Linked DNA regions of Mus musculus. The protein of the gene in region 1 purifies or fractionates together with the protein of each later gene. This does not show direct contact. Links are inferred from orthologs where the notes say so. Each region holds a gene or a part of one and is shown on either strand. Other genes may lie near its edges. The genes, in order: Slbp, Ctif and Mif4gd.

Region 1 (3,169 bases):
GACTTAGAAGGTATTGAGGCTCTATCATCATTCCCCTTTTGCTTTTCAAGAATGTTTATAGGGCCAGGAATTAGTTCCAGGACAGTCAGAGATAGATAGATAGATAGATAGATAGATAGATAGATAGATAGATAGATAGATAGATAGATAGATAGATAGATAAACAAAAAAGGAGCTTGGAGATGGCTCAGTGGTTAAGAGCACTGGCAGTTCTAGAGAACCCAGGTTCAATTCTTCACATCGCAGCTCACACCTGTCCTACTCCAGTTTTGGAGGGTCTGTCACTCTCACACAGACATGCAGCAAAACACCACTGCAGGTGAAATAAACAAAAAAAACCAAAAAAGGATATTTTCGGGTGTGTGTGAATTCTCAGACTAGTCCTCTGAGCTGGGTAACCTTTCTTTTTGTTTTGTTTTGTTTTTCGAGACAGGGTTTCTCTGTGTAGTCTTGGCTGTCCTGGAACTCACTCTGTAGACCAGGCTGGCCTCGAACTCAGGAATCCGCCTGCCTCTGCCTCCCGAGTGCTGGGTTTAAAGGCGCGCGCCACCACATCCAGCTTGGGTGACCTTTCACTTTGAGTTGGTATCAGTATTTTGTGTTGGGTTGATTGGTCAGGAATTAAATTTATCAAATATGAAGTGTTCCTTAGGAAACAACACTGTTGTCGTGGTGTTTGGCTTTAGCAAACTTTGTGATAGCAGCAGGTAATTGACAGGCTTGTGTTGTTTCATTTCTCAGACAACCTGTAGATCTTGGGGAAATGGAGACTGAATTCACAGAAAGCAGCTCTGAGTCTCAGACAAGTTCACAGGATAACTTTGTAAGTACTTTGGATCTGTCTCTTATCTTGGGTGTTTGAAGTCATTTGAGAGTACATACCACTTTACATACCCAAGGTTAGAACTGGAGTTTGATTATAATGCGTCTGAATAAAGGACTTTTTTCCATCAAGAAATACCAAATTGATCACAAATTGGGTTCTGAGCAGTTTACCTCAGTTTGGGCTTACAGTGGTGAGCTCCTGGTGTAGGGATCACCTGAATGCTTCTTAAGGGAATTGGTTAGGTTTTTTGTCTTTTCAAGATAGGGTTTTTCCAACAGCAATGCTTGTCCTGGAGCTCACTCTTTAGACCAGGCTAACTTCAAACTCAGACCTGTGCAGTCCTGGTTGTTCTGGAACTCACTGTAGAAACCAGTTTGGCTTTGAGCTCACCCAGGTCTTCCTGCTGATGCCTCCTTCATGCTGGGATTTGCCTGGCCTAGGGGCTAGTTTTTTTGTTTTTTTATGATAAAGCTAGGTGTGGTGGTGCATGCAGGAAGATCAGAGATTAACTCATCCCCAGTAAACTGTTTGAACTACACAGAATAGTCTTTTCACTGGCTCAGTAGTTAATGATCTGGTATAAGGTACCTTTATGTTTGTGATTAAGACCTTCCATTACTTTTATATATATATGTAAAATATCTAGGTTCTGAAGTGGCAAAATGCGAAAGACTTAAAACACAAGCAACTATAAGCTGTTCTTATGCTTTGTTTGACTATGGCAATAAACAAAGGTACCTTATTCTGGTTCCCATCTGTCACTCCAGGTGTACTCAGGTTTATTGATCTTTTTGATAGCAACAATGGTTGGGACAAGTCAAGTAACATAAATGTACACTATTGAAATGTCAAGACGATGTTGGTCTTGGCTTTGTCCTGCTCTTCTGGGCAAGTTCACTTGTGCTCAGGGTAACTACAAGGAAGCCTGTGTGATGGACTGATGCAGGTATGACTGCCTCTGTTTTCTAGGATGTGTATGCTGGCACACCCACCAAAGTCAGACACGTGGACTGCCAAGTGGAGGATGAGTTTGATTTGGAAGCTTGTTTAACTGAACCTTTGAAAGACTTCTCTGCCATGAGTTAACTGCCACCTGGTGGTTACTCAGAGAAATACGTGGCTCTGCCTGGCCACCTGGAAGGCCTGAGTTGCTCTGCATTTGTTTTTGTTGTCTCTGTTAAGAGTTTATTTTCTCATGATAAATTGTTTTTCTTGCCTTATTTTTATGTATGGTAAATGTGTTAGGCATGTTTTAAGTTGTAAATGAAGCTAAATGCAGTGGAGACTTAGCCCTATTATATTTTTGCCCCCCAAGTTAGACAACAGGAAACTTGAGCCTTCAGTTGCCACTTTTCAGATGTGTTGGCAGTGGATTTTAACCATGTGTCTATGGGACCAATTTAGAATCAGTTGCCTTTCAGGTAACTGATAAAGAATTCTCAGTCAGGCAGCTGCAATGACTCTGTAAAAACTTATTTTCTGGTCTTTTATCAATGTGAATGTAGTTTTCCCTCATACAGAGCTCTGGACAAAGGATGCTAAGCTATTATATTAATGGGCTGTATGTAAGTTATATAGTTTTAATTTGGAACTTGAAATAGCATTAGTGTGAGGTAAGTATCTTAGCACATGCTCTATGAGAGTTGAGGCAGAAGAGAGGGACTTAGAAAGAACTTTGTTTTTTTAATGATCAGTTAATTTACCATGTAATATTGCTGTAAATGATAATGTGTACAGTTACTCTGTTCATGTATCCAGTTGTAAACTTGTCAATATTTGCATTTCTATTGCTTTTGTATGGAATGATAATTGCAAAAATAAAGACCCTTTAACTGACTTGTAACATTGCCCTATACTGTTTGGAGGGTCAGGGCAAGCCTTTCTTTTGTACCTGAACCACTTGTATGGCATATGGGAATGTTACTTCCCTTCCGTGAGAAAACCATGCACAAATCTGGTCGGTAGTGGCCAAGTACAGACACTGTTTCCTTGTTAAGTTCCTGTCCGTCGGATCTGTATGGAGACCATGATGATTATAATGCTCTGACATGGGACCTGCTTACATGTTCAGGGTAAAGCTTCACCATTATGTGCCTAAGCACAAAGGGCGGGTGCCTTGGTATTCTTGACCTCTGTCCACCTGCAGGTTCTATGTCAGCCACAGTAGTGGCCCTGAAGACTTATAGTAGGGCTGAGACCATCAGGTTGAGATGAGTGAGCAGGGGGTAGGGGGTCTAGTGATGCCGGGTAGGTGGCATTGAGTCATGCCTTGAAAAGCAGCCAGTGCAAAGGCCCTGAGGTGGAGTCGAGGAGTGGATAAGTTGGCTCTCTGAGACTAAATGT
Region 2 (3,749 bases), on another chromosome or scaffold:
TGGGATTAGCTCTTCCCTACCTCACAGCATCCTCTTAATAACTGTACTATGTGGTGGGGAAACCCCCGCTCTGTAAATTCAGAGTGACATGTTCTTGTTCCAGCAATCTACTCACCTCGACGGCACGATACCCAGAAAGCCTTGCAGATTACTGTCATCACCAGGATAGGCATTGGACATGACACACCGCTGAGCCTATTGCTATCAGCAGAGTCCTGTTTCACATACTCAGAGGAATTTTCTTGGGCTACCCAAGAGCATCATGACACTATTTAGTGTCTGTTGAGGGCAATCTGTTCCTATACAATTGGGTTGTTTGAAAGTTCCTGAGGTTTCCTTTCATGGACCACGGGCTGCTAGGAAGCAAGATTCCAGAGGTTTGGGCCCAGCCCCTACGCTGGGCCAAGAGGAACCCGGCAGGACAGCCCATCGCTCCTCCCACTGCTGTGCCGCGCCTCCCTCCGAGCAGAGGCGGTGCTTAAGCCGTGTCACTTTCGACCTGGGGAGGCTCCCAACACCCGAGCCTGAGGTGTCCAGGCGGTGCAGGGGCCCCTAGCCAGAGAAGGATAATCTCGGAGCTTCAGAAATGACAGCCGGGAGGGCGGGGTAGGCAGAGGCGTGTGATCCCGCAGACCTGCGGGCAGAGGTAGACAGGGTCTACCGGGCAGGCTTTGGTTCTCAATTGAAAAACCGAGGGCAGGGAGGGGTGGCTGAACGCGTGGATTCTCTCTAGGATCTGGGAAGGCAGCTGAGGAAACGCACAGGCACGAGCATCACCAGGAGCCTCCGCGCTAGGGGCCAAGGATCCTAAACATGGCTTGCTGAGGATGAGGGACACTAGAGCTCGGGAGGATCCTCCCAGCCCGCAGGGTGGGCTGCCAGTCACTGGGCTAGGGAAGACGAGAGAAACGTAGAGGGAGGGCCACACAGAGCTTGGGACTCCCAGGCAGCCACAGAGCCCAAGCCACCCTAAGGTCTTCCCCGGCGCCAGCCTAAGGATTCCTTAGTAACCCAAGCGTGGACACACATAAGAGACAGCCCAACTCACACCATTTGGGGCTAGCTGGTCCAATCCCAAGAGGCATCCATCCCACGCTGTTCTCCACTATGCCGCCCCCTCCCAGACCAAGCTGTGTGTACACACACAAACAGTTGGGCGGGGGAGGCGACGCCTCCCTCCTGGTGGGGACACTCAGGGCACAGCCACCGATCCCTCTCCTCTAAAAGCCGCGCCCCCTTCCCAGTTCACACTCCCCCTTGCCCCTACCCTGAGAACTCCTCAAAATCAGAGCCAGGGCTGCCCGAGTTCAGGGTTTGAATCCTGGACTGTCTTTTTAATGCCAACAAACAACCAGCTCCGATACCCGGTCTTGGGGATGCCTCCTCCTGTGGCATTCAGGAACCCGCACGCGGCCCTCCCGATCCCCGTGCCCTCCCGATCCCGTAGACATCTACCTCAGCCAAGCCACCGCTCCCATCTCCCCCTAAAACCTGCACCTGTGACCATCACTAGCTAGTTCCCCCCAGCAGCCCACTCCACGGCCTTCGGGCTGCCCGCCAGCAAGAACCGGCTTTTGGAACCTGTCAACTTAACCCCAGCTCTGTAGGACGTATCTATCCCCATCTCCGCCCCCCAGGCCCCATCACTCAGAGGCCACAGGAATGATCATCCTTAAAGACCGGCAGAATCACCACGGTATAGGACGGCCAAAGCCGTCACTGCAATGGCTCCGCCAAGGCGCCCTCCACTGCTCCTATCCGCCGCGCCCTCCGCGGCCCGCGGGCTCACCGGGGACGAAGGGAGGGGTCTGCTGCCTGTCTAGACGAGAGCCATCCACACACATCCCCAAGCTCGCAGGGACAGCCATCCGCACGGCAGGGGAGGGCAGCGTGAACACACAGAGTCGTGGGTTCCCTCCCTCAAGCCCGAGTGCTGCAGCCGCGCCCGCAGCCGCCTCCCCAGCCGCGCTCCGACCTCGGCGCAGAGCGCGGTCGGAACAGCTGCAAGTTTGCCTGGCGCTGGAGCAACTGCTCGTTGCAGCAAACGAGGCTCCAAAACAAAAGGGAAAGGAATCTTGCTCACGAGCTTCCTCCCCGCGGGTCGGAACCGGGCACAAGACATCGGCTACACCGCGCGGCTCCAGCCCGAGTGAGGCTCCAGACGCGCGTTCCCCCCAGGAACCCCTCTGGGTTCCGGAGCTCTGGTGTCACGGTCCCCACCGCGCGGGGAGCTGGGCCCACTACAGGACAAACCCTGGGAGAGGGCGAGATCGGAGAGTGCGGTACCCACTAGACCCAGAGGAGGGGACTAAGGATGGGTGCGGACACCGGGCTGGCTAAAGCACTGGGAGGGGGAAGGGGGAGAATTGTTTGGAGCGGTTTTCCCGGATTTATCTATAATCGAGAGCACGTCACGTATCCCTCCTCCCGGGTCCCCGAATCCACCCGCAAATCGAGGTGACTAAAAGAGGAGGGAGGACAAGGGATGCTCACCTCGGGGTTCCTCTGGCTGCCGCGCGGAGCCCGCGTCGGGGTGGGGGAAGGGGGCAGGGAAGGGGAAGGGAGGGACCAGGCTGCAAAGAGCGGACTCCTGCTGGGAGTTCGGCGCGTCCCAGCCGTGAGGGGGATCCGGCACCTCAGCGGACCGACCCAGTCGAGAGGGGAGGGAGGGAGGGAAGGGAGACAGGGAGGGAGGGGCAGGCAGAGGGAGGGAGTAGAGGAAGGAAAAAAAAAATGATCCCAGTACTGACACAGGGAAAGAGAATGTAGGAGAGTGACGTCCGGGCCCCGCCTCCCCCTCCGGCCACGTGCAAAGACTTGAAAGGAAAGAGGGAGACGGCGAGCCTGCTGGGTAATGTAGTTCGCCTTTCTTTCCTAGGATGGCGGGCCCTGGAGAGCTGGGAACCCGGGGGAAGCCGGGGAACTGCCTGGACAGAGTAGTGTTGCTACGCCGATGCCAGTGACCTCTTGCATTAGCGGGGCCCTCCGCGGTGGGGGACAGAACTGAGGGCTATGGCAACGTCTGAGCTTGCAGAGATAACTTGGTTTTAGAATCAGGCAGGCTGTGAGGATAAGGACTCCGAGCTTAAAGTATAAAGTCTGTCCCAATGGCAGATAAGAGAAAGCGTAATGTATGCTCTGGGAGCGATGGTGTGTGTGTGTGTGTGTGTGTGTGTGTGTGTGTGTGTGTGTGTGTGTTGGGGGGGGACACAAGTGGCGTTATTAATGCGGCATTAAGTGCCACCGTCGGTTATTGAGATTCATATGTTATAATTAACGTTTGCGCATCGCTCGGGCAGGGGCGGGATGTTGTAATTAGATATGCACTTTGCGACCAATTAATTTTCCATTGGCCATGCTAAAAGCTGGGACGCCGGCTGGAGGAATTCGATGCAGTGGATAATTCGGTCATCACTTGATCTCCACTGTTTTGGTTAAAACGGTGGTTAAAGCACAGAAGCCTCCAGGAGAAATATAAGATGCTGCACGCATCACCAAGCAGTGGAGTCAGGTGCATATTGGAGGTGCTGGAACAGACCCGCTGAAGAAATCCTTTGAGTGATTAATTTGTAAAACATCTAATGAGCACAGCTGGACATGCAGGGACCTGTAAGGCCCTCAGTCTTTGCCCTCCAGGAGCCCAATCTTGTGGGAGGGCCTTTCACAGTCTTGTGAAAGATGGGGGTAAATGTCACTTGATAGGAAGGCTTCCAGGGGGGACCCGGTGCCTGAATGAAGAGTTACTAAGG
Region 3 (3,749 bases), on another chromosome or scaffold:
ATGTGAATAAATTTATATACCAGAGGAGAAGCTGACTGCAGACCATTGTAAGGATACTACTTGTTTCTTCTACTGCTATGATAAACACCATGACCAAAAAGCAAGTTGGAGAGGGAAGGGTTTATTCAGCTTACACTTCCACATCACTGTTCATCACCAAAGGAAGTCAGGACAGGAACTCAAGCAGGGCAGGAACCTGGAGCCAGGAGCTGGAGGTCATGGAGGGAGCTGCTTACTGGCTTGCTCAGCCTGGACCATCAGTCCAAGGATGGCACCATCCACAATGGGCTGGGCCCTTCCCCATCAATGACTAATTACAAAAGTGCTCCACAGGCAGTAGGAGTTTATGGAGGCATTTTCTTAGTTGAGGCTCCCTCCTTTCAAATGACTTTAGTTTGTGTCAACTTGACATAAAACTATCCAGCACATTACCAAAGTCCAATTGGGAGTTACAGGAGCAGAAATGACTCAAAGACAGGGACATTACCCAAAGCTCAGCCTAGCATTGCTGAACTCATGAAAGCTGGGATCATGGAGCACAGTGCAGTCTGCAGGCAGCCCAACAGATTGGAGAGACCTCCAGGCAGCTCAGTTGGTCCCAGCCTATCTTCAGGTCAACTGGAGCAGTCTCAAGAGTACACTGGGCAGCCCAGCTCAAGCTGCTGTTTCCACAGGGTGTGCTAGCTCGAGCCTTTTTAGGCCACTTAGCTCGTCTGAGTGCAATTCGGCAATCCTCGCTGCTTTTACATTCTTAGTAGGGAGGGGCTTCCAGGAGCCTGTGAGTTGTTCACTTCCCCTACTTAAAACATCCTGTGTCTTAATGCGCCTCCCTGCGTGGTGGGATGTTGTTTCTCCTTTATCTTAACCTGGAAGATTCAGGGTCGGCTGTCTGATTTTTTTTTTTTTTAAGAAGTCTTATCGACGTAAATTCCGTGCTCCTCATTTCCCCGCCCTCAGGAGCTTCTCGAGCTTTTTGGTACTATCACCCTGAGCGCTGTGGCAAACTCTTAAAGCAGCTGAGAGCTTTGGCTCCTGGTCCCTCGTGCGCAGCAGTGTTGCTCCCGATTCCCCCTAGGAAAGACCCAGGGCCCTTTATCTTGGCTGCTCCTTTGGTTTAAAACTTATTTTACAGTGAGTGGCAGGAGAGGGAGTTGCCAGAGTGTGCCCCAGCCCTTGCACTCCGCTTTAACCGGCCAAACCCCAGAAGACTACGCCCCTCCCCCCGAATAGGCCACGCCTTCCCGAAGCTCCTCCCACGCTGCCCGGCCGGGGAGAGTCTGACCTAGTTCACCTGAGCGGGGCAAGGGATATGGTGACCCCGGCGCGGGGTGCGACCTGGCAAGACCAACAACTTCACGCAAAACGCAGGGAGGGTCCGGCCCAGCGCTCGGAGGCTTTCGTGGTCAGAAACAAGGCGGAGGTGCGCCGGGTGGGAAGGGGACAGGGGCCGGTGAGCTTTCAGCGCGCGACGGTGGCGGTGTCGCAGTTGTCGGGTGCCGATCCGTCTCCGCGCCAAGCGAGGGAGCGGCCCGGGGCGGCGGCGGGGTGCGGAGGCGAGGGCGAGTCGTGGCCGGTAGGCGGCGCTAGCGAGTCGCCCTGGCGCCGCCGCCGCCGCCGCCGCCGCCGCGCGGTACCACGCCGGGCGCGCGCCGCGCGGCGCCCCAGACGCAGGCGCGGGCCAGCCCTGGCCCAACGGCTGCAGGGGTGGACGGACTGGAAACGCTGGGAGAGAGGGGCTCGGAGCCCTGCTGGTATCAGGATCTGCGGCTTGGACTGAGCCAGCGTCCTCCGTGCTAGACGATAAAGGCGAGCCTGACGTTTACACCCAGTTCAGTATTTGCACCCCGAAATTTACCCTGATACTGACTGTATCAGATCCCAGATCTGGGATAACTCAGATCCCGCTGGGACCGTAGGTGAATTCCCGCTTCACTTCTCAGATGTAACCCCAGAAGCCTGGGTTTCCTTCAGCTGAGCAGCAGGTGGCCACTTGGTGCTCAACTACTCCACCCGAAGCCAAGTTTGGTGGGCACTCAGCCAAGCACTGAACGCGACAGAAAGTCCAGTTCCACCCGTCCCAAGGCCTGGTCTGCCCGGCCCAGTGCCTACAGGGCTAGAATCGGGAGCTTTGTGATTCACCCTTGAAGCCTCAACCGTCTTTGCTTCTCAGGTGCTGTCCTTAGTTTCAGGCCAGTGAAAACCTGCCGGGCTTAGACCGTCATGAGCGAGGCCAGTAGAGATGATTATAAAATCCAGTCTTTTGATGCAGAGACGCAGCAGCTGCTGAAGACCGCGCTCAAAGGTGAGCCTCCCACCCACCACTTATTTTGTGTCAAGTTGACATAAAACTATCCAGCACGCTACCAGAGTCCGACTTGAGGTTCCCATGCATATTCCATTTGGGTAAGAGCCGCACTGGGGGCTGAAGCCCAGAGCCAGGCAGTGCCCAAGCCCTTCTTGGCTCTCAGAAAGTAAGTCACAACCTAATTCTCACCACATTTAAGCCAGTAGATTGGAGAATGAATCACAGAGTTAGATCTAAGATCATAAAGCCTTTAAGTACCCATGAAAGAGAACACTGCTTTCTCTTTAAAGGCTTTGCATTTGGTGCAGTCAGCACCCTTGAATGTACAGAGATGCCTGGTTTGGAGAATCAGCCTGGCAGAGGGGATATGTAATTGCCTGGCCCTTCCGTTGTAACACTCACGACAGAAGTTTGACAGGACAATTAGCAATTGCCGTCATGTGCTAAGCTAAACATTTTGGAGACGTCTCCATGCCTGTAATCCCAGCAGATTACAGAGGTAGGAGAATTAGCACAAATTCAAGGCCAAATTGCTCAACACAGACTGTGCCTGTGGGAGGAGAGATGGCCCAGTGATTTAGAGCATTTGCGTGCTGTTCTCCTTTAACCCCAGCAAGCAGGAGGCACGATAGCTGGCTACACAGTGAGATGCTGTCACCAAAACAAAACACAACAGAAAGCCATAAAGAACACTTGACTTGCAGAGGACCTTGAGAGGTTCAAGACCATTGATAGCTCAGTTCTCAGGATCCCGTGCTATCCTCTATCTCCGGCAAACACATGGCATGCATATATACATGTAAGAAAATATTCATACATATGACATGAATGAACCTAAAAAAAAAATTACATGGTGAGCTTGAGGCCAGCCAGAGCAAAACAAGACTATCTCAAAAAAAAAAAAAAAAAAAAAAAGTAGAAGCCTTGGCATTCAGTGTACGCCATCAAGGCAGTGCTAGAAAATAAAAGACGTGTAGCCTAAGAAACTACACTTGTGCTTTGGTCTCCTGCAGCCTCCTAATCTTACAGTCATTGATTTATTGGCACAGGATCTCTCCCTGGCTGGCCTACATCTCTCCCTGGCCTGCCTCTTCTACCTAAGTATTGGGATAAAAGGTTTACACCATTCCATGCAGAGTACAAATTGTTTTTTTATAAAGTTTTTTTTTAAAGGTTATTTATTATATGTAAGTACATTGTCACTGTCTTGAGACACACCAGAAGAGGGAGTCAGATCTCGTTAAGGATAGTTGTGAGCTACCATGTGGTTGCTGGGATTTGAACTCAGGACCTCCAGAAGAGCAGTCAGTATTCTTAACCACTGAGCCATCTCTCCAGCCCACAAATTGTTTTTTGTTTGTTCATGTGTATACCTACTTGTCTGCTTGTGAACCACACATATACTGTGCCTGTGGAGGCAAAGGAGGATGGCCAAGCCTCTGGA

Evidence for each region.
Region 2: the proteins of Slbp (region 1) and Ctif purify together in Homo sapiens (affinity purification with western blotting; 3 studies listed by BioGRID). This does not show direct contact. The link is inferred for Mus musculus from reciprocal best matches to the Homo sapiens genes SLBP and CTIF.
Region 3: the proteins of Slbp (region 1) and Mif4gd purify together in Homo sapiens (affinity purification with western blotting; 3 studies listed by BioGRID and IntAct, with this or other methods). This does not show direct contact. The link is inferred for Mus musculus from reciprocal best matches to the Homo sapiens genes SLBP and MIF4GD.

Annotation. Positions count from the first base shown.
Region 1 is NC_000071.6:33,639,555-33,642,723, reverse strand, and holds the end of Slbp (histone RNA hairpin-binding protein), read left to right. Parts: intron 1-741; coding exon 742-823; intron 824-1,795; coding exon 1,796-1,912; 3' UTR 1,913-2,669; downstream 2,670-3,169. UniProt on the Homo sapiens protein: RNA-binding protein involved in the histone pre-mRNA processing.
Region 2 is NC_000084.6:75,694,899-75,698,647, forward strand, and holds the start of Ctif (CBP80/20-dependent translation initiation factor), read right to left. Parts: upstream 2,799-3,749; 5' UTR 2,494-2,798; intron 2,410-2,493; exon of another isoform or gene 2,084-2,409; intron 1-2,083. UniProt on the Homo sapiens protein: Specifically required for the pioneer round of mRNA translation mediated by the cap-binding complex (CBC), that takes place during or right after mRNA export via the nuclear pore complex (NPC).
Region 3 is NC_000077.6:115,610,456-115,614,204, reverse strand, and holds the start of Mif4gd (MIF4G domain-containing protein), read left to right. Parts: upstream 1-1,235; 5' UTR 1,236-1,420; intron 1,421-1,701; exon of another isoform or gene 1,702-2,170; 5' UTR 2,171-2,220; coding exon 2,221-2,302; intron 2,303-3,722; exon of another isoform or gene 3,723-3,749. UniProt on the Homo sapiens protein: Functions in replication-dependent translation of histone mRNAs which differ from other eukaryotic mRNAs in that they do not end with a poly-A tail but a stem-loop. May participate in circularizing those mRNAs specifically enhancing their translation.